Linked DNA regions of Arabidopsis thaliana. The protein of the gene in region 2 interacts with the protein of the main gene of each other region in a biochemical or structural test. Each region holds a gene or a part of one and is shown on either strand. Other genes may lie near its edges.

Region 1 (5,212 bases), on a different chromosome or scaffold from region 2:
GTCTGAAGATCATATTTTATATGACTAAAAGGCTGCAAACACACCATAATAGGCAGAACTTTTATTTTAAAAAAGGAAAAGGAAACTTCATAATACACATGCCTAGCCGTCGCTCTACAAGTTCATTTTTACTCAACAAAATGGAAAACTAATAGTATGATAACTCCAAACAATCAATACAATTATATATTGTACACTTAAACAGATACAAACTATGTAGTTAAATAAGTTAAACTAATAATAAAGCAGAGACCTTCAATTATTAGCACCCTTAAGTTCTCTGAAACATGCATCCACGCAAACTACAATCCTAGTTTAGGTATTGAACCCAAGGCAATAACAATCATCACCATATTATATATCTAATCATAGGTATTTTTAAAATAATAAAATTCACCAATGCCACTATAGAAACATACCTTTTTCCGTTTCGTAATTAAATGAATATATCTTGCTTACCACAGAATACCATTTTATATTTCAACGTATATTGTAAATAAGATTTTAAATATTTAATGATATAGCATTAAATAAATAAATAAAATTTATACTAAAACTGATATTTTTGTTATTGATATTCATTCTAATTATTGAAATCATTAAAAATAACTAAAAATGAAACGGATAAAACTATATCATGTTTGGCACCTAACATTACAAAAACAATCAAGAAAATAATTATCTAGTAAAATATATTTGTTCAAGTATCATAGCTTAGTTATTGAAAAACATACACTAATAATAATCAAAAACCAAAATATATATACCTCATCAATCATCATAAATAAATAAGAACAGTCCATGCATTTATAATTCGCTAGGAAATAATATCCCACACACAGTCCATGCATTAAACAAATAATATCGTATTCGTACCACACACACATAAATATAGAAAGAGAGAGATGAGAGGATGAATACTCATAATTTATAAACTCTCACATGTTACCTCCTTGCTGATCATGACCATTGTTCCAAGGAAGAAAAGTCCCATACGACCCTCCGGTGCCACGTGGCATCTGATTCATCACCGGACTTGCCCCCGAAAGCCTATAAACCGGGTTCAAGGGAGGCAGTTGCTGCGACGGAAGCGGCTGAGGCTGAAAAACCAAGTCCACGACGTTGCCAGGTGCTCCGGCGGCTGATGTGGACAAACCATAATGTGCCAAGTCAGCATTAGCTGCGTCGAGCTCCTTCTGAAGCCTATGGACTTGTCTCTGGAGATAAGAGATGGCTCCGACGCAGCCATAGACGGGGTCACGGACACGTGCCTCGGCCTCATAGGCTAAGGAGTTGACTGCGTCTTCACGTTGGTGAGGGAGGAGCTCGTTGAGGAGCTTCGTGACGTTGCTTGCTCCAAAGATTTTGTGGACGTTGGCGAATTTGTGTGGCTCCTCCGGTGGAAAATATGGCGCGAATATGCATCCCGGCATGCATTTCCGGCGAAGAAACTTGCACGCCGCGCATGGTGAGTTGTATGAGTTTGATGACGACGCCATTTGTTTTTCTTCTTACAACCTAATATTGTGTTTTAAGAACAAAATACAATTAGAAAGAAAAGTTAAACACACACATATATAGTATGTTTATACATACGATCTACATATATATAATTTAAATTTGCCAGTAAATGATAAAACTCCTACGTTTCGTTTAGAAGTCATTTTTCTATAATTTCTATATTGCAACTTTTTCAAATTTTATATTGAATTTTTTTATTTCCTTCTTTCATTGAATTCCTAATTATCTTTCCATTGATTTTCCCTTTCCACGTTTTTCTTGATGTATATGTAAAATGTCCACCATCAAATCTAATGAAAGGAAAAACATACTATTTACAAAACCTAAATGTCTTTAGATTGAATATTAATTGAACACGTTAGGAACACAGAGATAATCCGGACGTGCTGGAACTATAACTTTAGTTTCACATAACGTTTTTTTTTTCAATTAATTTAGTCTACACTAGTTTTCAAGTAGACAAATATCACTTCACATATTTAATCCCCTATTACCTTCTTAATTTATCTCTACGAATATATTTAACTAACTTCTCCGAATCTTCCTTAACAGAGTATACACATACCCACACTCGCCTTTAATTCTAGCTAATATATGATGTCATACATGTCGATCAGTTATTCCCTGAACAAAACAAAACCAAAAAAAAAAAGCAATCTTATTTTTAAAATGTCAGATGAGTTTGTGTATCCCTCTGTATCTATATCAATCTTACATATAAATACTACATATTTTTGTTCAATGCATATCTACTTCATATTTTACCAAAATATATCAAACAGTTTTTCTTTGTAATTCAATTGTGTCCTGATGTGTTTTACCATCTTCTTCATCTTCCTCTCACTCTCTCTTCAACCCTAGCTTTGTTAAAAGAAACTATAACTTAAAAGGGAAACTCAGTGAGGATTTTATAATTTCTATTTGTATGCCTCAAAACTAAACTTGGTCAAAGAAATTTCAAAAATTGTCTTTACTAAGTAAGATAAACTCTCTCTTTTTCTCCGAGATGAAGCAATTCTACTGACCTCAAGTCTATACCAATTTGGATTTGTTTGTAAACTTTAGATCTGACCTTAATTATGTCAACTCAAAGAGATCACGAAGGTTTAATTACACGTGTTTACTTATATCCTTGTCTCATTTGCTATAATTAATTAGATAACCTTGTTAAGTCTTTATTATAGTAGAAATTCAAAAGGAAAGTGACAGAAGGATCAAAGTGAATATGTGTATGAGCAACATAGAACATAGAACATGGAGCATAGAAAATAAAATTAAACATAGATTAGAAGACTTGTTTTGATAATCGGGAGCTATGCATAAATCCAGGGATTTATTAAGATACATACATCAAAGTATATACATATACCTGCCTTTAGATCTTTAGGTTCTTTGAGGATCTTGTATCTTTCTTCCTCTTTCAAGGGCTTTTACCTTACCCTTTGAATTTCGCTTCCAAAGTAGATAGAGTAGGCTTAACTCTTTAGTCAATGAGAGGGATATATTAGGGTTTTAGCCCTCTCAAAGAAAGAGGAAACCCTAATGTCAAGAAGAATTGAGAAAGGTTTGTATAGAAGCTGAGAATTTAAAGAAACCAAACAAACAAATAAAAAGGAAAAAATAGAGAAATGTTTTAGTGGAGAGGAAGGAGAAAGAGCAAAAGACAAAGTGTAATAATAACAAATGAACAATTAATAAACAGGAAGAGGAGGAGAGGGTATGTCCCTTAAAGAATGACTATGACATTTCATCTCAAGAATATTAGTAATATCATTTCACTGTGCTTACTTTTGTCTCCCATTAGATTATTTTTTAAAACCTTAGCTTTTGTGAATTTTTCTTCATACATTTAATGTTAACAATATTCCCTAACAGTCCCGAAATCAACCCTAAGCTAACTAATCAATTATCATTGTGTGTATATAAATATCACTATATATGATCTCTCTATATATACCTGTCTCACGCTGATGGCCAAAATTTGGAACCTCAAGAAAACCCTAAGCATCTCTCTATATCAATCTCGACTTTAATTGAATATCATAACAAACCCTGATTTGCAATGAGAACTAAAGAACATATTATATGACTGTTTTTGGCAGAACAAACTATACAATTAATATATAGCGGTATAAATTTGGTGACTGGTAACTTGTTCTCTTGTTCATACCGTTGTGAAAAAAGCTTGACATCCTAAAATTAACAGCAATGAATTGAACCTTTTTTTCAGGTGTGGCAAAATAATTCTTCAATTTAATTTAATCGAACAACAGTTAATAGGAACAAGAATAAACTCTTGAGACCTCAAAGTAGCTACGTAGAGACAGGAAATCAGTAAAAGTCAAGCGATTTCATGTGAACGATCAAGTCAAGTTTAAATAGGTTTTGTAAAATCAGAACTTTTGTAATGGAAAATAAACTATGAGGGGGTCCGAAGATTTTTGAAGCTATAGCTAGCTAGGGTTAGTATCATACAACAGTTACTTGTGTTAGATTATATATTATTGGAAGTGACAACCGATTGAGACATTTTTCATAATGTCTTCTTCTTTTTATTTCGCACCAATTCTTGGTCTAATGTAGAATTCAAATGGTTCAATATTGAAGATATATTAGACTGGCAAAATTCAAATGCAAATGTAGATCATAAATAGTTACCTAATGGAAAAGTAAATGAGATAATTTTCTTATTACTATCAGAAAATTGTGGTAAATTAACCTTTTGAATATTTTCAAGATCATTATTTGTTGGTCTAAGTTATGATGGTGGTTAGTGGTGGGAACTTAGTAATTTACTAAAGTGAAGCATCTATAGGCTTTATCACCAAACTAATGTCTTCATATTTTTCTTAAGATATTAATTTTGTGACTAATATATATCGGGATTAGGGTTCGAAAATAGAGGTCCTATTCTTTTCTAAAAGAGGAAACTAGTCTCGTACTTGGAAAGTAGAGCTTCTCTCTCGTTATGATACAAAAATTGACTGATTATTCAAAGTTTTCAATGTTATTGATTGCGCATTCTGATATGATAGATAATAAGTAACTATATCGAATAAGTTGAAAGTTGTTTGGAGAGCTATGATATGGTTTATTCGTTCCGTCCGACGTTGTAAATTCAACACTAAGCCTACATATTACAGAAGAAACCATAACAAAGTTTACCATCAAAAGATTAAAGTAATCGATTAGAATGGGTATTGATCTATATATATAGCCCTTCAATATATATAGAGAGGTTGCATATAAAATGATACAAATAGAGAGGTGGGGGTATGAAGTGTTATAAAGGGTTTGCAGAGAGAAAGAGAGAGAGAGGGAATATGGGTCCTCCTCACACATATGATCTACTAAAACTAGACTAGTACCTAGTTTGTCCCTCGAATTTTATTTTTCTTCTTGTAATTTAATTAAGTCAGTGTGACTCTAAGAATCTATAGAAACCACATTTTATATATATGGTCTCATTTGAAACAACACACACATAAGAGATAATGTTGAATTAATGAATGTGCATGTGCTGATTATGGAAGGGTAAAGTTAGAGGTATATATGGGAGGTCAATGATGCAACTTGGAGGAATAGTTTTGTGAATATGTCCTTTTGTTTTCTTGTTTGTTTTTATATATGTAGAATCGAATAACAAAATAGACAACAATCATGAATATGAAACACATATAGCAAAGGAAAA
Region 2 (6,230 bases):
GTTGTCTCTATTTTTTTTTTGTAAATATAGAAGAGAAAATAGAGATTTCTATTTTTACTCCAATAATTCTTCAAAAATAGAAATCTCTATTTGTTAGAAAGAAAAATAGGGGAAAAAAATAGAGATCCATATTTTTGTTTCTATATATAGAGAAAAAAATAGAGATCTCTATAATGGAAGTGAGAATAGAGATGAGTTGGAGTGTAATAAAAGCAAAAATAGAGTGTAGAGACAAAAATAGAGATGTGTTGGAGATGCCGTAAGTATTGTGAAGATAATCCTCACAGCTTTCTCAGCAATAAAAGAAAATATATCTCTTTAATTTTTTATAAAGGTTTTATGTGTGAATATTAAAAACTTTAGTCTCATATGAGTTCGAGACTGTGCTCGGGAACAAATTTTATAAAGATAAATCATCTAAAATTGAACTGCGTTTATAATGGCAAAGACTTTGCATAATTAGAATGTTTCTTATTGATAAAGACTTTGCATGTTTCATACTCATTTTGACATCTAATTGAATAAAAACAGAAAAGAGCCGTATAGCTTCAAAATCTTTATATTTAGAATAAAGTGTATATATGTGAAAGAGTAACACATATGTACGTAGGAATTAGGTTGGTTAAAGAATTGGCCACATCAATATCTGAGACACCAAAGAAGTAATGGACGTTGGGAGAGTAAGTAACGTTGCCAAATTGGAAATGCCAAAAAAAGATTGTACCTTTCCTCTCTTTGATTGAGACTTTACTACTACACCAAACCTTACATCACCAATCGCTGAAAGTGAAACCGATATTTTAGCACATTTATATTCCACTTCTACACCTTTTTACTAAATTTCAGTTTTGAGATTTACTTACATGAAGAAGAAATTGGCTAATCAAAATAATCAAGCAACGATGATTTGTTGCAATGAAATGGAAATTGGGATTTGGGCTCAGATTATTAGAGCATAAGTGGATTTCCTGTTCGGCCCATTGTGTGAAACAGGTTATTCCACTGGACCCATCTGTTCATCTTTGTCCTCAAATTTTCCTCTCTATCCCCAAAACACCCTTTTAAAGAAGTAACATTAATTGTTTTTTTTTTTCCTTTTAATAAATTTATAAGATATTTTGAATTAATATTATTAGTACGTCTCAATTTTTATTTTATTTTTGCCTTTTATACTCTAAAGTTTTTAATACTTGATGAATTTTGAATATTTTTAAAAAATAAAAAAAATAAAATATTTTTAAAAAATTAATATTACGCTTGGTAGATTTCATCCAACGGCTGAGATAATTACTAAAATGGTGTTTTGAGCTCAATTATTTTTCCATATTAAAAAGTGTTTTTGGTTCTTGGTTATTTACAGGTCAACAAAATAATTTGACACCGGAATCGGAGTCCGTGGAAAGTCAGAAAACCTGATGTAACACCATTTATGGCATTAACTACTGATAATAATACTATACGAAAATCCAATTATTATACCGAGAAAAAAAGAAAAGTGGTCAGAGACAGCAGGCTGGTCCTGCTGAAGAATAAATCTAATCTACCGATTCGATTAAATAAATATGTGCCGTTTTCTGGTACGCCCTATTCAAATCATTTTTATATTATAGTATCAAAATACTTCAAAAATTTACTAATTACAAAATTAAGGAGTGATAAAAAAAGTTTATAATCAGAGATAAAAAGTCACCGGTTAAAGCCCAAAAGGCCCAAGTAATATCCATTGGGATCCAGCAAAATATATAACAAAAGAACCGTACCGTACCTACAATAACCAAAATTGGTTTTCTCTTTCTTTTGTCTAACAGTGGCCTTTATTTAACAGACGCACTCCACTGCTAACGTTGCTTTCGTCCTACTCTTCTTCTGGTGTAAAAGCTTTTCTTCCACACACATTTGAGAAAGAAGACGAAGAAGAAGAGAGAATAACTATTCCTTCTTCGCCAAGTTCTCTGAGCTATAGAAGAAGGAGGGATTTCTTCAGACCGCCATTGTTGCCCACCTTCTCTCCTTTCTATTTTTCGCCGCATTTTACTCGCTTACTGACAAAAGTCTTCTACTCAAGTCTCTCTCTCGCTCTCTTTGGAGGCTCAATTAGGGTTTTGTTGTCGTGAGATTTGATTACACAAATTGCTGAATTTGGTTTCGATTATTGGTGTTATTGTTTTCGAAGATTTCCAGTGAGTTTCCGTTTATGGATCTGACTGGAGGATTTGGAGCTAGATCCGGCGGTGTTGGACCGTGCCGGGAACCAATAGGCCTTGAATCGCTACATCTCGGTGACGAATTTCGGCAACTAGTGACGACTTTACCTCCCGAGAACCCCGGCGGTTCGTTCACGGCTTTGCTTGAGCTTCCACCTACACAAGCAGTGGAGCTTCTCCATTTCACTGATTCTTCGTCTTCTCAACAAGCGGCAGTGACAGGGATCGGTGGAGAGATTCCTCCGCCGCTTCACTCTTTCGGTGGGACATTGGCTTTTCCTTCTAACTCAGTTCTCATGGAGCGAGCAGCTCGTTTCTCGGTGATTGCCACTGAGCAACAAAACGGAAATATCTCCGGGGAGACTCCGACGAGCTCTGTACCTTCCAATTCAAGTGCTAATCTCGACAGAGTCAAGACGGAGCCTGCTGAGACCGATTCATCTCAGCGGTTGATTTCTGATTCAGCGATTGAGAATCAAATCCCTTGCCCTAACCAGAACAATCGAAATGGGAAGAGGAAAGATTTCGAAAAGAAGGTTAGAGTGAGAGACAAATGTTTTTACTTTTTTACATTTGATCCTTCGTTTCATCAGATTGATTTTTTATAGGGTAAAAGCTCGACGAAGAAGAACAAAAGCTCTGAAGAGAACGAGAAGCTGCCATATGTTCACGTTAGAGCTCGTCGTGGTCAAGCAACCGATAGCCATAGCTTAGCAGAACGAGTAACTTGCATCTGCCTTCACTAATTTTTCTTTTTTTTGGTATTAATCAGTTGATTAATTCGCTAATTGATCACTAATTTTTGGATTATAGGCAAGAAGAGAGAAGATAAATGCACGAATGAAGCTGTTACAGGAACTGGTCCCAGGCTGTGATAAGGTTTGTCTCTTAGATATAGACGTGTAATCAATTTGTTAATCAATCATTAGGTCTTCATTTGTGATTAACGACATTATATTTCTCTAATTGATTCACTCCAAAAGTAAGAATTTATTATTAGATGATCTAGTCTTTTTGTTAAGGGTCTTAATCCTTCACACCTACTTTTTTTTTTCTTCCTAAAAAGTGGATTGCTTAATTGCTTTTTTATTAAGAAAAGTGGTTCCTGGTGTGCCAAAGTAGCCAGTTGGGTAATTGTGTAGTAATGCCTTTAGAGATCTCAACTTTATTTTTTTATTTCGTGTGGGGAGAAATATCTCACGGGTACACACTTAGCTTTAAGGTTAACTCAGTCACACGGAAGTGATAGGACCTTGCTTTATCGAATTCTTTTTCCATAAGTGTGTTCGTTGAGCTTGAAGATTAGTCTATAAATGACGAGAATGACCTTAGGAAGTGTGCTAGCTGTAATATGCCATTAAGGTTTTGGGTTTAGGGGACAGATTTTGGTGGAAAGATCAAGATCAAAGTGTGTTTTGGGGTCCATCTTTTGATGATAAGTGGGAAAAAAGTTGCAATCTTTCTATGGAAGGTGAGGAAGGGGTAGTATCGTCTCTAACAAGTTCGGTATCTATCAAGGAAAAATAGAAAATGACTCTTAGAAGGACGATTAAAGCAAATGATCCTTTACAAAAATTGATATGCTTTGAGTCCCACATACCTAATTAGTTGGAAACATGATGTGACACTCCCCCAGACAGCTAATTAATCATCCCTGATGTTAGAAGTTAGCAGCAATTATTGGTGTGATAGAGATGATGATATGGAACATCAGTGTTTGTTTAAAATTTGGATTCTATAGGTGAGCTGTGAGGACTTGATTGATTGTTCCTTTAGCCCCCCTAGGGTATACTGATTACTTGTGATTGTAGTAGATACCATTTATTATAATAGCTTTAGATTAGCACGTCATTCTCTTGCTGCTTTTTTCACTGTGTATTTTGGAATCTTGGTATTTTCTCGTTGAAATATTGGATCATCTTAACAATAGTTAGCTGTCTAGAAAGAATTTTTGGTATGTGAAAGCAGATCTACCTAATATGAATCCGAGCTTATCAGAAAGTCTTTGACCTGCAGATTCAAGGTACCGCGCTGGTGCTGGATGAAATCATTAACCATGTCCAGTCATTACAACGTCAAGTGGAGGTGAGACTTTCCGTGGTCCAATTTTTGTTCTTTATACCTATATTTTACAATAGCCCTGGGCACAATAAAAGGGTCAACTCAAAACAATTTGAAAATGAATAGAATTATGTGCCGCAATCTCATGAAACTGTGACTTGTGTTTCCACAGATGCTATCAATGAGACTTGCTGCGGTAAACCCCAGAATCGACTTCAATCTCGACACCATATTGGCTTCAGAAGTAAGTATCAAAATCTCAAACAATAATTTGGTCATTCTGATTAGTCTTCTCTAGGAAAAATTTAACCATTTCATGTGTTTCTCATTTAAGTTAACCATACCTCTTTGAGTAGCTTCTAGTTTCTATCACAAAAGGAGAAACTTTTGGGGTATTTATTGATACAAACATTAATTTAGACCATTTTAGTGTAAGGCATAGGAAGATCACAACGTCTACTCTCATGAAGGAAACTCAGGGAAAAATAAATACACAACACACACACACACCCAATGCAAATAACAGTAGTGGGTCAAAACTCGGACCACCTTTGTTCTGTAAAACCTTTCTGTGTCTTCTGTGACTTATGTCGGATGTGTTACTTGATGAACCTTTTAAAAAAAAAGTTAATTCATCCCTCAATAATTTCTGTGGGTCTCTTCCAAAATCTTGTTATTTCAAAGTGACCTATCTAATTTCATGATCACCTGTGGATTCTCATCAAAAGTTTTGGACCAAACTAAATAAATGCTCCCTCTCTCTTTCTTCTTACAGCTTGTACCACCATTAAATAGCCAGGGACCCTCTCATCAAACCTTGTTCTTTTAGGATAATAATAACACAGCAACAACAGTTGACTTCTTTGACTAGATCAAGATCTCTATGAATGATCCCTTTGCTGATATCTTTTCCGGTTTTGGCTCTGTGTTTTTTTCTTTGACAGAACGGTTCTTTAATGGATGGGAGCTTCAATGCCGCACCAATGCAGCTTGCTTGGCCTCAGCAAGCCATTGAGACCGAACAGTCCTTTCATCACCGGCAACTGCAACAACCACCAACACAACAATGGCCTTTTGACGGCTTGAACCAGCCGGTATGGGGAAGAGAAGAGGATCAAGCTCATGGCAATGATAACAGCAATTTGATGGCAGTTTCTGAAAATGTAATGGTGGCTTCTGCTAATTTGCACCCAAATCAGGTCAAAATGGAGCTGTAAGTTGGGAAAACGGTAGAGATCATGAATGTGTATATACATCGTATAAGCTCGTTTCTCTCTATATAAATATAATCATAAATATAGATATCTGTTAAGAAGGTATCAGTCATTTGATTCAGAGAGACAACACTGGTATGATTGTTTCTTATTCTTGTACCAGATTTCGACAATGTAGAATTTAGTAGGATATGATCATTTTGATCTCGTTATATATATCTTACTAATAATAAATAGAGATAAAAAAATTCTATTTAGGGAAATAAATCAGTATCGATAAACAAAAACAGAAAGAAGAAGCAGGGGCATCCTTTGGATATTGGAGTTGCACGAAAAAGAAGAAGCAAAAACAAAATGCAACTATATGTTTAGATTGTTTGAGCTGGACCAAGTGAAAATGCACCTCTTGAATTATGGTTTAGGTTAGGTAACAAAAAACCCTAAATTGACTCATTCGATAAGAACAGAGATGCAATCATAAATATGAGTGCAAAGCACGTTACCGGAAGCTGTGATGGCCTTGTTTGCGTCTACCGTATAGAAAGATTGATGTGTATCATCAATCCCGCCACTAGATGGTATCGATCTCTTCCTCAGCCTAAGATTCAACAAATTAACCGCCTTAGACGAAATCTACACGAGAGAAAGTTTCACTTTTTAATTCTTTTGCTTAATCAATTTGCTTAATCAATTTGCTCATATATGTTTACTTAAATTTTTGATGTTTTTGTAGTATTATTTCACTATTATT

Evidence for each region.
Region 1: the proteins of AT3G57800 (region 2) and LOB form a complex in vitro, tested with the Arabidopsis thaliana proteins (one study listed by BioGRID).

What each region holds. Positions count from the first base shown.
Region 1 is NC_003076.8:25,307,785-25,312,996, forward strand, and holds LOB (Lateral organ boundaries (LOB) domain family protein), read right to left. Parts: upstream 3,236-5,212; 5' UTR 2,891-3,235; intron 2,146-2,890; exon of another isoform or gene 2,016-2,145; intron 1,519-2,015; 5' UTR 1,500-1,518; coding exon 939-1,499; 3' UTR 762-938; downstream 1-761. UniProt on the Arabidopsis thaliana protein: Not known; ectopic expression of LOB leads to alterations in the size and shape of leaves and floral organs and causes male and female sterility.
Region 2 is NC_003074.8:21,407,286-21,413,515, reverse strand, and holds AT3G57800 (basic helix-loop-helix (bHLH) DNA-binding superfamily protein), read left to right. Parts: upstream 1-1,903; 5' UTR 1,904-2,194; coding exon 2,195-2,740; intron 2,741-2,812; coding exon 2,813-2,926; intron 2,927-3,017; coding exon 3,018-3,083; intron 3,084-3,579; coding exon 3,580-3,675; intron 3,676-3,945; coding exon 3,946-3,990; intron 3,991-4,220; coding exon 4,221-4,289; intron 4,290-4,437; coding exon 4,438-4,509; intron 4,510-4,920; exon of another isoform or gene 4,921-5,115; intron 5,116-5,209; coding exon 5,210-5,482; 3' UTR 5,483-5,727; downstream 5,728-6,230.